Linked DNA regions of Daphnia pulex. The protein of the gene in region 1 interacts with the protein of each later gene in a pairwise test. Links are inferred from orthologs where the notes say so. Each region holds a gene or a part of one and is shown on either strand. Other genes may lie near its edges.

Region 1 (7,721 bases):
CCTCAAAATCCTGAAGATGAACCTGTTGTTACAGAAGCTGCTGCTACCAGCCCAGGTTCTTTCTAGATAATGGGATCACAATTAATAATGAATGACCTTTCTTATTATTTATTTAACTCACTTAAGTTACATCTGAGGCTAATGGAGGTGAACCAGAACAGCCCAAAGCAGATCTCTTTAGCAGCATGAAGAATCAAATGAGCAGTTGGTTGTCCAAGAAGGAAACCACTGATCAGCCAGAAGAAACAAAGGAGCAACTTACAGAGGAACCAGTAGTCGTCGTTGAAGACGAAACTAAAGTTGAAGAAGAGACCGGAGAAGTTGAAGGAGATAAAGAAGGTTTCGGTTCGGGTAAAACTTACTTCAAGTTCAGTCATTTAAATCAATATTTAACCTTTGATGTCTTATTTCTCAAGGCTTAGAGGAGGTTTCCAATAAAGCCATGCAAGGGGCTCGTACAATCGGGAGCTTCTTTGCTTCTGCCGTGAGCAAGGCTGGTAAAACAGTGACTGAAGCTGGCGCTAAAATCAAGAAAACGGTCGAAGAAACGGTAATCCAATTTAGCAATTTATGCAAATTGAAATTTAATACTCTATCTTTTTTTTTTCAATTCATTGTGCAGACCATCCTGAGTGAGTTTAATAAAGAACAAGAGGCGTTCATTAAGAGCAAAAATAAAATGGAAGGATCCATCCCACCTTGGGTCGGTTACCCGGAAGAGGAGGCCCTAAAGGCTGAAATCTTGTCACTTTCAACTGTAAGGGATTGATTATTTTATTTGTTTTAAAGAGCAAATCCGTATGGCCCTTTCCTGTCGTTGCAGGATCGACGCAATTTTGTGAGAAGCCCACCTGCAGGCGTTGATTTCCAGTTCGACTATGATTCTTTCTACCCGATCGCCCTAGCAACACTCGCTGAGGATCCAAACCTGGAAACAATGCGCTTTGAACTGGTCCCCAAAATGTAATTGAATATTTTCGTTTTGACTCTTCTTATCCTTAACCAAATTACTTTGATTAATGCAGCATCAAAGAGGAGCTATTCTGGCGCAACTATTTTTACCGGGTTAGTCTTTTAAGGCAATCGACGGAACTTTCTTCGATGACCCAAGGAGAAGGCAACAGGGACTCTGCCAACCATTCTCGTGAATCTAGCTTCGACGAAGAGGACAAAACAGGTAAAGATCTATTTTTCAAAGTGATGCAATTAGTCTTTTTAACTTTGATCCTTCGGCAGAGGGCGCCGATACGCCTGATTCTCCGATGAACGAGTTTGTTTCCGATTCATATCAAAGCAACACGCTATCCAAAGACCTGAAAGAAGTCCAGGAGGGCATCAAACGTCTGGGCACCAAGAAACCGAACGGTATTTAGGAATGTCAATAATCCTTAATTTTAAGTATCAAGGAATCATGGCTAGAATTTCCTTTTCTTTTCCTTCCTCTATGACTAATAACTAACAAAAACAGATGAAGAATGGGAAAAGGAGTTACAGGCCGAGCTTCAGGATTACGAACTCGGCAGCGAAGGATCTGGACAGACAGGTGGAGCTGACGCCGACGATATTGAAGAAATGTTGGACGCGGAAGAATCGCATGGGGATCTAAAGTAGTGCGTGTGTCATGCAGGATCGTGTACCCGTAACCCCGCATCAACCTGGACGTTCCTTGCACAGTAGTTGATGTCAATTTTTTTCTATCTTTCTCTCTCACTCTATCTCTCTATTTTCCTGCGCGATCATTCGGTTTTTTACTCGGAAACCAAATCATCGGTGTATGCAATCCGGTTCGTATGTGTGTCTGCCCTTTCAAGGCGACCCCCCCCCCCTCTCCCCCGTTTTTCTTGTAGCCTCTGCCTGGAGAAAAGAACCAGTTCCTCCAAAAATTGCCCGAGCTAAAATTAGTCAGAAAAAAATTTCTTTTTCCTTGTGTCTAGTTTTCTTCTTTTCTCAACTGCAAAGTTCAGCCATTCCCTTTTATGTGTGTGCTTTCTTTCCTGGCTTTCCGACGATAGTTAGAGGATGTTTGCACAACTGTTGTACCCATTTTTTCTCGTTTTCCAAACACACACTTCCCTGAGTAGCCACAGTGAAAACATCATCGGTCTCATATTATCGTTTATCTGCGATTACTTAGGGTTAAATTGGCACGACGTAGTAGGTCCGCAATATCAAAAGTTGAGCATTCCGTGCATTGATTATTTGGCAGGAAAAAGTTTATATTAGTTGTTAAAGAAAGAATGCATTCGTTTTTGCGTTTTTCTCGGTTGTTGTGCGTTATCGTCCTCTCCCCTTCTGAATGTTGTTGCACGTGAAAATCACCTCAATTTCCCTAATTGCTATTCGAAGACGAATTGGCAGCAAACAAAACCTTATTATGTATATAATTAAAAATTAATTGGTGTTCACACATGGCAGGATAAGAATAAGGAAAAAGAAAACCGGACTTAGAAGCGCGACCTCACAAAAATAACATCGATATACAAAAAAAAAGAAAAAATATTTGGTCCATTTTGCAGTGTTTCCTCCCCTCCCCCTTTTAATACCAAATTCTCATGATTGCAAAACCCCAAATTTACATGTAATCTTCTAATTAATTGTCCTCTCTCTCTCTCTTTTTCTCTCTTTTTGATTGTAACATTATTATTCTATGTGTGTTTTCTCGGTTGTTAAACGGTTCGTTTTTTATTATCCCCCCCTTTCGTCGGATATGATGTTTTCATGAATATACGGTTGTATAAGCGTTACGATTGCTTGTGGTTGATTACGTGTCGATTTTGGTCACTTGTCTACGTAGTAAGAATCCCCTCCAATTGGGATGTAACGCGCGTCTTATCCCTCGGTACGTGGTCCAATCTAATCGCAAGACAACACCCCCCGAGCTATACGTCACATGGCTGTATGAACATGTGGGAATATATGGTATCCCAACTTTTATTGAAAGGGAGAATCGGAGAGATATTCTATTTACGACACGTCATCGATATTGAGATTCCATATGGGCATGTCAGATTACCAATTTTGATTACCTGAAAATGCATACAGGAAATGCTTGTCAAACTCAATATAACAATATCAGGATTGTTTAATAGTCCACAGAAAAGAATTTGGCCGTGAATGAAAAAAATGCGCATTAACAATAGAATACATAAAGTTCATGAGAATTAAATTAAAACGCGTTTTCATAGATGACCGGATAATACGAAAACTGGAATAAACGTGGAAAATTGAACGCCTGCCAGACGGCGCAATTTGATTGGTACACGACAGTCACGTGACGGCCAGAGAAAAACGTGAGTTCGTGAATGAGATGAGCAACTCTCTAGAAGATTCTACCCCGATGATTTGCGCGCCACCTAACGATGAGCTCTCGGTAGCCTGGGGAATCTTCCCGGGCCTTCATATGCAACACCGGCTAGTAGCCCCTCTATCGCTAGGTAGCAGGTCGATCGGATACCACCCACCAAGTGGCTCATCTCTCTGGCTCTAGTGTGACAAACCGACCAATGAGAGCATTACGGGTGTTATCCACCTTCCCATTCCCTTTCCGTAAAAACTTCTCCTGAGTAAAGGAGAGTCATCACGTCAGTTTGTCTCACTCGTCTGTCCTGGTCACTCGTTCATCGTCTTCAATCACATTCATTTGTACAAATGAAAGCTTTAGCATTATTAATCGCCTTGATCGGCGTTGTTGCGGCCGAAGTCTTCCTCGACGAGCGATTCTCAGATGGAGGTAAGAAAAAGATTCATAAAGTATTTCCCTTTTTTCCCGATATCTGGTTGATGGTGGAGAGGGTTACTTGTCAAGGGTAGCAGGGGAGTCTTTTTCTAGAAATTTCGTCAGCTTACAACAGGAGGCTGTGTAACACGTAAAACAAATATTCTAGCTATTTTTAACATATCTGCCATTTTCACACGCAAGCACTTTGCATGCCAAAGCCAAATGCTTGATATCGTTGTAATGCACGAATTATTTGGACGTGGCAATATGAATTTCACTTTTAATGCCACTAAAAAAGAGTTTAATTACAATCAAGTTGATCATCTGTTTTCATCGCTGCCATGCGGAATTAAAACGACGTGAACGAGAGTTTGCGGACGACAAAAAAATTTGAAGGTTAAAAATAATTAGAAAACGATCCTAACATTTTCCGATTAGTAACAAGAGAAATAGAAATTATGATAAAAGCCAAGTGAACTAGAGATAACAGGAAAAAGTTCTTCACCTTCAAACTGAAGTTGATGACGTTTAGCGTGCCACGACCTCTACCCGGCTTTTTCGATTTGTCGAGTTCATGTGTGGCATTTGGTGACGTGTACGTCTTATCTTGTTCTTTTCAGCTGCCTGGGAGAAAAGGTGGATCCAGTCGACCAACAAAGGTGAAACAGCAGGCAAATTTGTTCTCACTCACGGCAAATTCTACGGTGATGCTGAAAAAGATTTGGGTAAGGATTAATCTGGATTTTATAAATTATTTTGGATGATAGTTGATGACATGAATTGCTCTTAATAGGTATCCAGACTTCCCAAGATGCCAGGTTTTATGGCCTTTCCACTAAGTTCAAGCCCTTCAGCAACAAGGATAAGCCACTAGTCCTCCAATTCACCGTCAAACATGAACAAAACATTGACTGTGGAGGTGGCTATGTCAAGCTGTTTGACTGCAGTTTGCAGCAAGATGATATGCATGGAGACTCTCCATACCTTATCATGTTTGGTAAGTTTTATTAATAGTTTGTTGATATAGTAGCTGAAATAACCCCCAAATCCTGTCACAGGCCCTGACATTTGCGGTCCCTCCAACAAGAAAGTCCACGTCATCTTCAACTACAAGGGAAAGAACCATCTCATCAAGAAAGAGATCAGACCCAAGGATGATGTTTACACTCACTTGTACACACTCATCGTTAAGCCAGATCAGACCTACGAAGTAAGTCCATTATTAATTGCTCACCTTTCACACTGTTTATTCATTGGACTGTTTGTCTTCTTCCACAGGTTTTGATTGATAACGAGAAAGTTGAGTCTGGTGATTTGGAAAGTGACTGGGATTTCCTGCCTGCCAAGACCATCAAAGACCCCGAAGCCAAGAAACCCGAAGATTGGGATGACCGTGCCAAGATCGATGATCCTGAAGATGTCAAGCCCGCCGACTGGGATGTTCCTGAACACATTGCCGACCCCGAGGCCAAGAAGCCCGAAGATTGGGATGATGAGATGGATGGTGAATGGGAGCCTGCTATGATCGACAACCCTGCCTTCAAGGGAGAGTGGAAACCCAAGCAGATCGACAACCCCGCTTACAAAGTATGTATAACTATTTAAAAATGTTGATGGGAGGCTTTGTCTTTATAAAACTTTTTTGCTTAATCGCAGGGTGTCTGGGTCCACCCAGAAATCGATAACCCCGAGTACGCCCCCGATGCCACCATTGGTAAATACGACGAATCCTGCATCATTGGTTTCGATTTGTGGCAAGTAAAGGCTGGCACCATCTTCGACAATGTCCTCGTCACCGACGATGTTGCGGAAGCCAAAAAGGTAATAATACAAATTAGACTTTTAATGGTTGTTTGTACAGAAAGTAATTCTAAATTTTTCATTAGATTGGTGATGAGCTGTGGACTGCCACCAGCAAAGCCGAGAAGAAAATGAAGGAAGCTCAGGAAGAGGAAGAACGGAAGAAGATGGAAGAAGAGGCCAAGTCAAAGAAAGAAGACAACGAGGATGAAGATGACGAAGATGAAGACGATGCCGAGCCCAGCAAACCTGCTGCACCCGCTGAAGAAGCCGAAGCCGACAACGCAGACCACGATGAGTTGTAAAATGCAAAAATAACAAACACACACAAGGAAGAGCTGACAGAAAACTTAGGTTCCACCAAAAAAAAAACAATACAACAAAAAAATTTATATAATTTAATCAGCTGTTCCATCTTTATATCGGCGGTTAATAAGTTGTCACAATTCAACAGAGGTATTAAAATCTGATGCATCTCGGTTCCAATAATCTTTAAAAAAACAAAAAAGCTGAGGAATTCTAGCTCAAGACAAAAAAATAATTTTGGAACTGAAATTGAAAAAGAATTTAGACTGTTATATTGCTTCCCGTTTCTTTGTAGTCTTGTTTTTTTTTCTCTCCCCCCTCATACGGTGTTGTTTTGTAATTCGTCTATTTGAATGAAGGTTTTTTTTTTTCAATTTAAACCATGGCGTCACATCATCCCTCTTTTTATACAAAATGAGCTCGAGGCGCCCGTTTAATTCCTACTTTTTTTTAAATACATTGCCGATTCCCCTATCTGGGGAGTGAGTATGATTGATAAAAAAAACATTTATATTTGAATAATTTTAAACCATGAGTTTGTTATTTTCACCGCTAGATGGTGGAGTGTAAGCACAGGGGCGCTGATTTTTAATCATTTCTTTCGACGATCTTTGGCAACCAATTGATCGACGAAGAAATGGAGCTCAAGTCATTGACCCCATGGTTCGAGTGGCCTGCCAGTTATGCAATTGAAGTGCTGGCTATTCGTTGAAACAAAAAGGACAATAAACTAAAGATCAATTGATTTAAAAAAGTCGTTTGACAACTATTACAAAGTCAGCCGTTACTTGCGGTTGTTTAACCTCAATAAATTGTGCTGCGCGCCTAGCGTCGCCAGTTTCCCTCCGGGTCTTTTGGGGTTCAACTTTTTCTTTTTTGATGAAGTGTGCATAATAAATTTTTTGGGGTTAGGGCAGAGCTATAGAATACTATAATAGTCCGCGGATGTTTTTTTGTTTGTTTGTTTGTTTTTTTTTTTTGCGAAGAGGAGGATCGGATCGATGAACGAATTACTAATTAGCCCGTTTGATGCTTCTGAAGACGATGGCGATCGAAATGAAGCTAAACAAATTTTTTAATGAATAAGACGGGCATAGAATTTTAAATTAAATTTTAGTAGAATTTGACGAGCGAATCGACGATTCGCGTGAAACAACGACATCAACCACATGACCTGGAAAGACGAATTCTGTCATGTCTTAGAATAAATAAAAAAAGGGTTTCTCCAACTTTGTTCATTTCTTCATTTTCAGAATTAATTGCAGTATAAAAACATATTAGTAGAAATGTTGTCCAAAGAAATGTTGTAAATGACCACGATACTTCTACTGAGCCATGGCTCAGCTTCTGAAATGACTACCATTCTTCTCTAGATAGGTCTCCGCCATCAATAGTTGTTGTATCCTCCTCTTTGAATACCTACGCCATCTGGATTCAAACGGCCTGATGGAGGCTGATGATGCGGTGGTGGTGGATGGAATTGTCCAGGATAGTTTGGAGCGAAATGACCTGGTCATCCTCTTCGCTTCTGTCATAAGAACCGGGAGGTTCACCACCTCCTCGATAGTTGTTGGGATCAGGACCTGGACCCCAACCGCCAAAAGTTTCCTTCGCCATGCCGATCACTCATTTGTGGAGGTGGGGGAGGCGGATAACCGCCTTCCATCCGCATGTCGACTTCAATGGGCTGCATTGTGGGTCCTCCAATTCCTATATAATGCATTCTTCTTCATTATCCATAGATTATGGTAGACCACCCCACGCTTGATCTCCACCTGGTGGTCCGTGATGATCTCTCCCTATTCTTCGATCCGAAAATTAGTTTAAATGACATGACCTAAACTTAAAATCATGAGCGTACCTCTGCCTGGAGGTGGAAGTAGAGGTCCACTTTGAT
Region 2 (6,732 bases), on another chromosome or scaffold:
AGAAGAATCCTTCGATGGACGAGACCGCTCCATCTCACAATAGTGATCTTATAGATGAATATGTAGTTTCCAAAATAGAAATCCAATAAACAACAACCACTAGCAGAGTTTCATAACTATATAACTGCTCTGCAGATATTTAAAATTGTTAATGAAAAATTACAACGAACACTACGTTGTCAGACGGTTAATTTATATCATATTACTTGTGAAATATAAATGAATGAGAACTTCAAAGAAAGGTGGAAAAAATCGCAACGAAAAATATCATAAAAGGATTTTTTCTGGCTTACCACTCTTTTTATCTCTGGATCACAAATTTAAAACGGATTTTTCGACCATTTGGCAACGGACAATTACAAGAACATCGTCTGTTTCTACTTCAAAAGGCCCGATGGCGATCTTTGCTTTCATTTCTAGGGATCTGTTAGCGCCTCTACTGTGCTCAGGTTAAATAATAAAACCTTCCGAAATATAAATCAAGAGAATATAATAAATTTGGATTCCATAAACCTTACACATTCAAGAGAAATAGGAAATATCTATAAAAAGGAGTAAGCAACAAAACGGTAGCCGAATTTTGCCAAATATTTGCAATGTACAAGAGATGGCGCTCTATAAATCTCAGAGCATTAAAAAGCAACTGGAGGCATTTACACTAGATTATCTAAGTTACAGACACACGATTCACGAAGATCTGGTGACCTCGTAAAAGCTCCATATTTGCGGATCACGGTTTCGGTCACTTTACCCAGCTTTATTAACTTTCGTCATTGCTAGTTAAACTGCATCTCTTGTTGACATGGCTCTGTTTCGCACATTATCTTTGCGGTTAAGCTCCCCTCCTCAGGTAAAATATAATTGGTATAAGTGAAAAAATCCTCGACGTCTTACTTCTGTTCGAAACAAATTTCCGCCTTTCTAGGATCCATTTCTTTAAATATTGCAAAAATTCTTTCCATGTCTTTTTTTAATTAGCACTTTTGTTTCAAATGGTGCCTCTAATATATATAGTTGTATAAATATTGGTATTCTCATTATGTAACACATTTTATAATTATCCTGCAGGGCTCTATTTCTACCATTGTAAGAGCATTCTCTGATCATACTGATCTGAAGGATGTTCTTAACAATAAAATCCCTTATGAACAGGAACGTGTCAAGAAGTTCCGTAAAGAACATGGCAATGTAAAAATTGGTGAAATTACAGTGGATATGGTGGGTTACACATATGAACAAATCACATGATGAATCATAAATAACCCACAAAAAAAACTAGGCATATGGAGGTATGCGCAGCATGAAAGGTTTGGTCACAGAAACATCTGTCCTAGATCCTGAAGAGGGAATCCGCTTCAGGGGATTATCTATTCCAGAATGCCAACGTATGCTACCTAAAGCTAAAGGCGGGGAAGAACCTCTACCTGAAGGTTTATTCTGGCTTTTGATTACTGGAGATGTTCCAAATGAAGCCCAAGTAATATCTGATGGATATATCACTTGTATGTTTTACCTAACTATTTTTCTTAGGTGAAAAGCTTGTCTAAAGAATGGGCAAGCCGTGCTGATCTTCCATCTCATGTTGTGACCATGCTCAATAATTTCCCAGCCAACCTTCATCCAATGTCACAGTTCAGTGCAGCAATCACTGCCCTGAACAGTGAATCCAAATTTGCCAAAGCTTACTCTGAGGGACTTCACAAATCTAAATATTGGGAGGTAGGTGACCATTAATATTACATGTTTTTAAACACACGATATCAATCGATTGATGTGACCGTTATAGTACGTCTACGAAGATTCTATGGATTTGATTGCCAAACTTCCTACTGTCGCTGCCACAATCTATCGTAATTTATATCGCGATGGATCTTCGATTGGAGCGATCGATACCAAAAAAGATTGGTCAGCTAATTTCGCATCCATGTTAGGATACACCGACCCTCAGTTTACCGAACTGTTGCGACTTTATCTAACTATTCACAGGTAATGCCGTCTTGGCATTATAATTAAGTCAAGTTTAATTGGCGTTACTATTTTTTAAATGTTTTTGTAGTGATCACGAAGGAGGAAACGTTTCGGCACATACAGTCCATCTGATAGGATCTGCTTTATCAGATCCATACTTGTCATTTGCTGGCGGTATGAATGGATTAGCAGGTATTCTAATTTAGCACGGTTTATATGTAGTGAGGTCCAAATTAAAATGTTGTTGTTGTTTACCAGGACCTCTTCACGGACTGGCCAATCAAGAAGTTTTGGTGTTCTTAAACAAAATTACAGCTGCTTTGGGAGATGGGTGGACTAAAGAGGGTTTGGTCCAGCTCATTAAACAGCAGCTTGCTTCTGGACAAGTAGTACCTGGGTATGGCCATGCTGTGTTGCGCAAAACTGACCCGCGTTACACTTGTCAGCGTGAATTTGCTCTCAAGCATTTGCCCGACGACAAGATGTTCAAGCTTGTTGCCCAGCTATACGAAATTGTCCCAGATATCCTTCTGCAAACAGGAAAGGTCAAGAATCCTTGGCCAAACGTTGACGCCCATTCTGGTGTTTTGCTGCAGCATTACGGCATGTCTGAAATGAGCTATTACACCGTACTATTCGGTGTATCTCGAGCACTCGGTGTGCTGGCATCTTTGGTTTGGGATCGTGCGTTGGGTCTCCCACTCGAGCGACCCAAATCCATGTCAACTGATGGACTTATGAAATTAGTTAAATCCCTCCAATCCCAAGCCAATGCGGCAAAAGGAGCGTAATAATTTTGACGAACTGATAGTAATATACAACCTTACTACATGTTAAAGAATCAAACTTTTACTTTGTTTTCGTGTTGACTGTAAGTCGAATCCGTGTTAGATTATTCCTGAGTGTGCGACACCATCTCCTGGAATTTTTTCAATGCAAACCTAAATAGAATTTCTTAATAACGGCGACTTAACTGGAACAAGGGATTGGTACAAACACGTTTCGATGGTGTCACCTGTCATAGTAGTAATGAGAAGTTGATCGTCTGTAAAACCCTAAAGTAATAGTTGTAATACCCACAATAATAAACGTTTTCACTGGATGTAACTACACCGAAGAATTTTTGATTGATTTTGTGTTTCAAAATTTTATTTCAACTTCAGCGCTACTTTTTCGTCTTCTCCAACTGCTACAAGCCCAACACCCACCCACCCACCTCCCAAAAAGAAAAAGCTTGCATTAAGTTAATGAGAACATGTTTTCCCGGCAACTTCAAGATATTATTTGTTACCTGTATTGACATCACCGGTTTTGGGCGTTATGCACAAATATGGCTGGTTTGGAAATGCTGTATCTAAAAAGTTGTTTCTTTTCAGTTTTTTTCTTTCTTTTAATAAAGCTATTGCGCAATGACGAAATATTCTAAATTTAATTCTATTTTTTATGTTATTTTCTAAACAAAAGAAAATATTTTTTTCTCGTTTTTTTTCTGTAGCTACCTACGTTCATTCTTTTCATTGGTTCATATTGATGAAAGTGATTGAAAAATTGTAAATGGACGGTTACCACTATCAAGTTCTTAAATATTCCACTAGGGCGCTGCCGATTTCTAGTACTAGGCTACTAGCTGTATGGCTGCCCCAGTTAAGGATTTCTTCTGTTCTCAGCTCACTTCGTAACAGATTTTATGGTTTAGGTTGATCGATAGTCGATTGAATTTCTCTTCGAAGGATAAATTCTTAACGCAACAGTTTCAATAAAGTGCTCAGATAACTTATTATATCAGGTTAACTGCGTTTATTTCGGTCGAATAGGGTTAATCAACAATTAATGTCTACACCAGCCAGAAGACGATTAATGAGGGACTTCAAGAGGTTAATATACTTATTTTAAACTAAGCTCCGTTAAAAAAAGAAGTGTATTCTTTACGCTTATTTTGTTTTTATCTCATGTACATCCTCTAGATTGCAAGAAGATCCACCTGCTGGGGTAAGTGGAGCTCCAACGGACAACAATATTATGATATGGAATGCAGTTATATTTGGGTATGTTGAATGCTAAATGAATTTCTTTACTTAATTATTAACAAATAATGTTGGTTTTATTTCCTTTTTTTGCACATTGAATATTAATTATTTTTTTTTTAATATTTTCAGCCCCCATGACACTCCATTTGAAGATGGAACGTTTAAGTTGACCATTGAGTTCACTGAAGAATACCCTAATAAGCCCCCTACAGTGAGATTTGTGTCAAAAATGTTTCATCCCAATGTTTATGCTGATGGAGGAATCTGCCTCGACATCCTTCAAAATCGATGGAGTCCCACCTATGATGTCTCTGCAATTCTCACCTCTATCCAGGTAAAATATGATTCATACATCTAAATACTATGTGTATTTATGTTTTGATTGATTATTATTGTTTGATGATTGATTGAATTCTTTATCAATTTTTTTAGTCACTTCTTAGTGATCCCAATCCAAATAGCCCAGCCAACTCGATGGCAGCACAGCTATACAAGGAGAATCGACGCGAATACGAAAAACGAGTAAAGGCTTGTGTGGAACAATCTTGGATGGATTAGCTTGTTTGAAACACCAACCTTTGCTTTGCTTTTTGCCTCAACTTTCCTATATTCCGTTCTTCAAATTTCCCCAACCATCAATCAGTTAAGCCCAGGTCTTATGGACCTCACTACTAAGTGTTTTTTTTTTTCTTTCTCAATTTCCTTGTTGTATATTGCTGTTTCCCATTGGTGATTGACACCTCACCGTTATGTTTCTGCTTCAGAAAAAGCGAAACCTGAACTTTTAAAAGCAGGTTGGAATGTAGTTCAGCAAGAATCAATTTTTTATTCACGAGAAATACAAAAGACAAATTGAAATCCGATAAGAAGTTCCCAACTAGCAAAGACATCTTTAAAACTATCGTAAAAAGAATTACAATGATTGCTAAATAAATTTTCGTGCCCATCGTCCTTCACGTGATAGCTTAGTATAATTGCGAAATTCTTTACACTTGATTTACCTGTATTAAAAAAACCTTTTGCTAGAAATTTAGCTGTATCAGTTCGTTAATTTTACGTGGCCAAGTAATAATTAATCGCTAGAAATAGTGCATTAGTTATTATGTATTCATGTTCATAAAACAAATGGGCAAATTAAAGTACAAACAAGATTGTAGTATTGTAGTAATCATTTTGAAAAGGCTATAAGTTTGGATGTGCAGTTACTGCAGTAATCGATGGATTCTCCTTCGTCACTATGGAACTTTGCACAACCGATTTTCTGCATGGACAAACCGTGTAGGCCTGTATACCGTTTGACGTTTGTGTCGTTTGAATGAAATTGCATCCCTAGGAATGAACCCTTTATACAAAGAGAGGCTTGCGTTACGAAGCTTAAGTACTATTCGACAATCGGCCTACTAGCCAGTAATAGTAAACTTTCCCACGGATGGTTCAGGTGTGAAAACGAACGCTGGTGAATGCATGAGCCACATAGATAGATTAGGTATTCAGGAGATCAGTTTGCATAATTCCCTTTTTCATGATCGGTACTTGATTTCTAATTTTCGTTTCATGAAATGTAGTATAGCTATATTTTAAATCCTAGATAGAAAAGTTCGGCTAGTCAACTGCGATACTTTTAGATGGATGAACTCATAGCTTGAGAACCTCACCGCTTGGAGAAGAAGCTACGCCTGGTACTTCCCGTTCCGTCTATTGCCGACTTCCCGTGGCCAAAAACCTCTGACGATAAAATAAATAAATAAAATCAAAATACGAAAATTCCATAAATGTTGTTTAATATGAATCATGCTGTTAACAGTGATTCACAGTGATTTAAATTGTGTTTAGTACATAAAGAATGGATACAAAAATTGAAAAACATATTCTAGAGCATCCTGTTTCCTGTTATATTTACATTGGTTGCACAGTATCAAAATAACTTTGACTGAGTAAATGTCTGAAAATCATCCGTGTACACTATAAAGCTGTCCTAAATCCACTTTTAAAACACGACTGTAGAAAATATTTAGTTCTGTGTAATTCGTAAATCAAAGACATGTATTCGTCCTTTTACGGTGCTGACTGGATTTCCGTTCATTCGCAATAAATTGGTACGGAGATAAACATCAAATAAACTTGAAATAACAAAAGCCGGAGAATAAATTAAACTTCCCTCTCGCTTATTGCTTTCGTATGTGAAAGCATCCCTTCTGAGGTTGTGTGCATAGAAAACATACGAAAAGGTAAATCCAGCGTGTTTCCTAAAGAGCTATTTTTGGTTTGGGTTTATTTTCAGACTAGCGCGCTAGTAAGAAACTCGCTAGTATTCGAACTATGTGGCGCGCCTTGCAGGATCCACCGCAAAATATATTCTTTACCACCCTTTCGCCTCCTAAAAACGGCGACATATAACATACCAGAACCAATAGCAGCAACCTACATCAGCTTTTCGCTCGATCCACACACATTTTGACTACCCACTATTTAGGGTGTGTTTTTAAACCCGCCTTCGGTTCAACGAATACATTATACAGGAATAACCTAAAATGAGAAAAGTCCGTTTTTTTTTACAACGGTCAGTTTAGACCACGTATTTTTTTGCAGAAAATTAAATTCTAGAATCTTATCGCCATAGGGTTACTATATGGCCTTCATTAATATTGCAGACAATTTCACGTTTCTGTCTTATTCGATGTCACACAGTTTGGAAATAATGGCGCAGACAGCATCTGTTTTATATTGAAAGTTAATT

The links.
Region 2: the proteins of calreticulin-like (region 1) and ubiquitin-conjugating enzyme E2-17 kDa interact in a two-hybrid assay, tested with the Caenorhabditis elegans proteins (2 studies listed by BioGRID). The link is inferred for Daphnia pulex from reciprocal best matches to the Caenorhabditis elegans genes crt-1 and ubc-1.

What each region holds. Positions count from the first base shown.
Region 1 is NC_060026.1:14,045,624-14,053,344, reverse strand, and holds calreticulin-like, read left to right. Parts: upstream 1-3,512; 5' UTR 3,513-3,648; coding exon 3,649-3,730; intron 3,731-4,338; coding exon 4,339-4,443; intron 4,444-4,511; coding exon 4,512-4,715; intron 4,716-4,776; coding exon 4,777-4,928; intron 4,929-4,996; coding exon 4,997-5,305; intron 5,306-5,374; coding exon 5,375-5,539; intron 5,540-5,604; coding exon 5,605-5,823; 3' UTR 5,824-5,920; downstream 5,921-7,721. Other genes in the region: synapse-associated protein of 47 kDa-like, read left to right, coding at 1-55, 127-351, 417-550, 623-757, 824-963, 1,026-1,177, 1,237-1,365, 1,469-1,611. UniProt on the Caenorhabditis elegans protein: Molecular calcium-binding chaperone promoting folding, oligomeric assembly and quality control in the endoplasmic reticulum (ER) via the calreticulin/calnexin cycle.
Region 2 is NC_060018.1:6,450,870-6,457,601, reverse strand, and holds ubiquitin-conjugating enzyme E2-17 kDa, read left to right. Parts: upstream 1-3,562; 5' UTR 3,563-3,798; coding exon 3,799-3,842; intron 3,843-3,932; coding exon 3,933-4,013; intron 4,014-4,124; coding exon 4,125-4,329; intron 4,330-4,427; coding exon 4,428-4,553; 3' UTR 4,554-4,858; downstream 4,859-6,732. Other genes in the region: uncharacterized protein LOC124189052, read right to left, coding at 1-33; probable citrate synthase 2, mitochondrial, read left to right, coding at 803-850, 1,069-1,218, 1,280-1,477, 1,531-1,719, 1,787-1,986, 2,057-2,160, 2,227-2,759. UniProt on the Caenorhabditis elegans protein: Catalyzes the covalent attachment of ubiquitin to other proteins.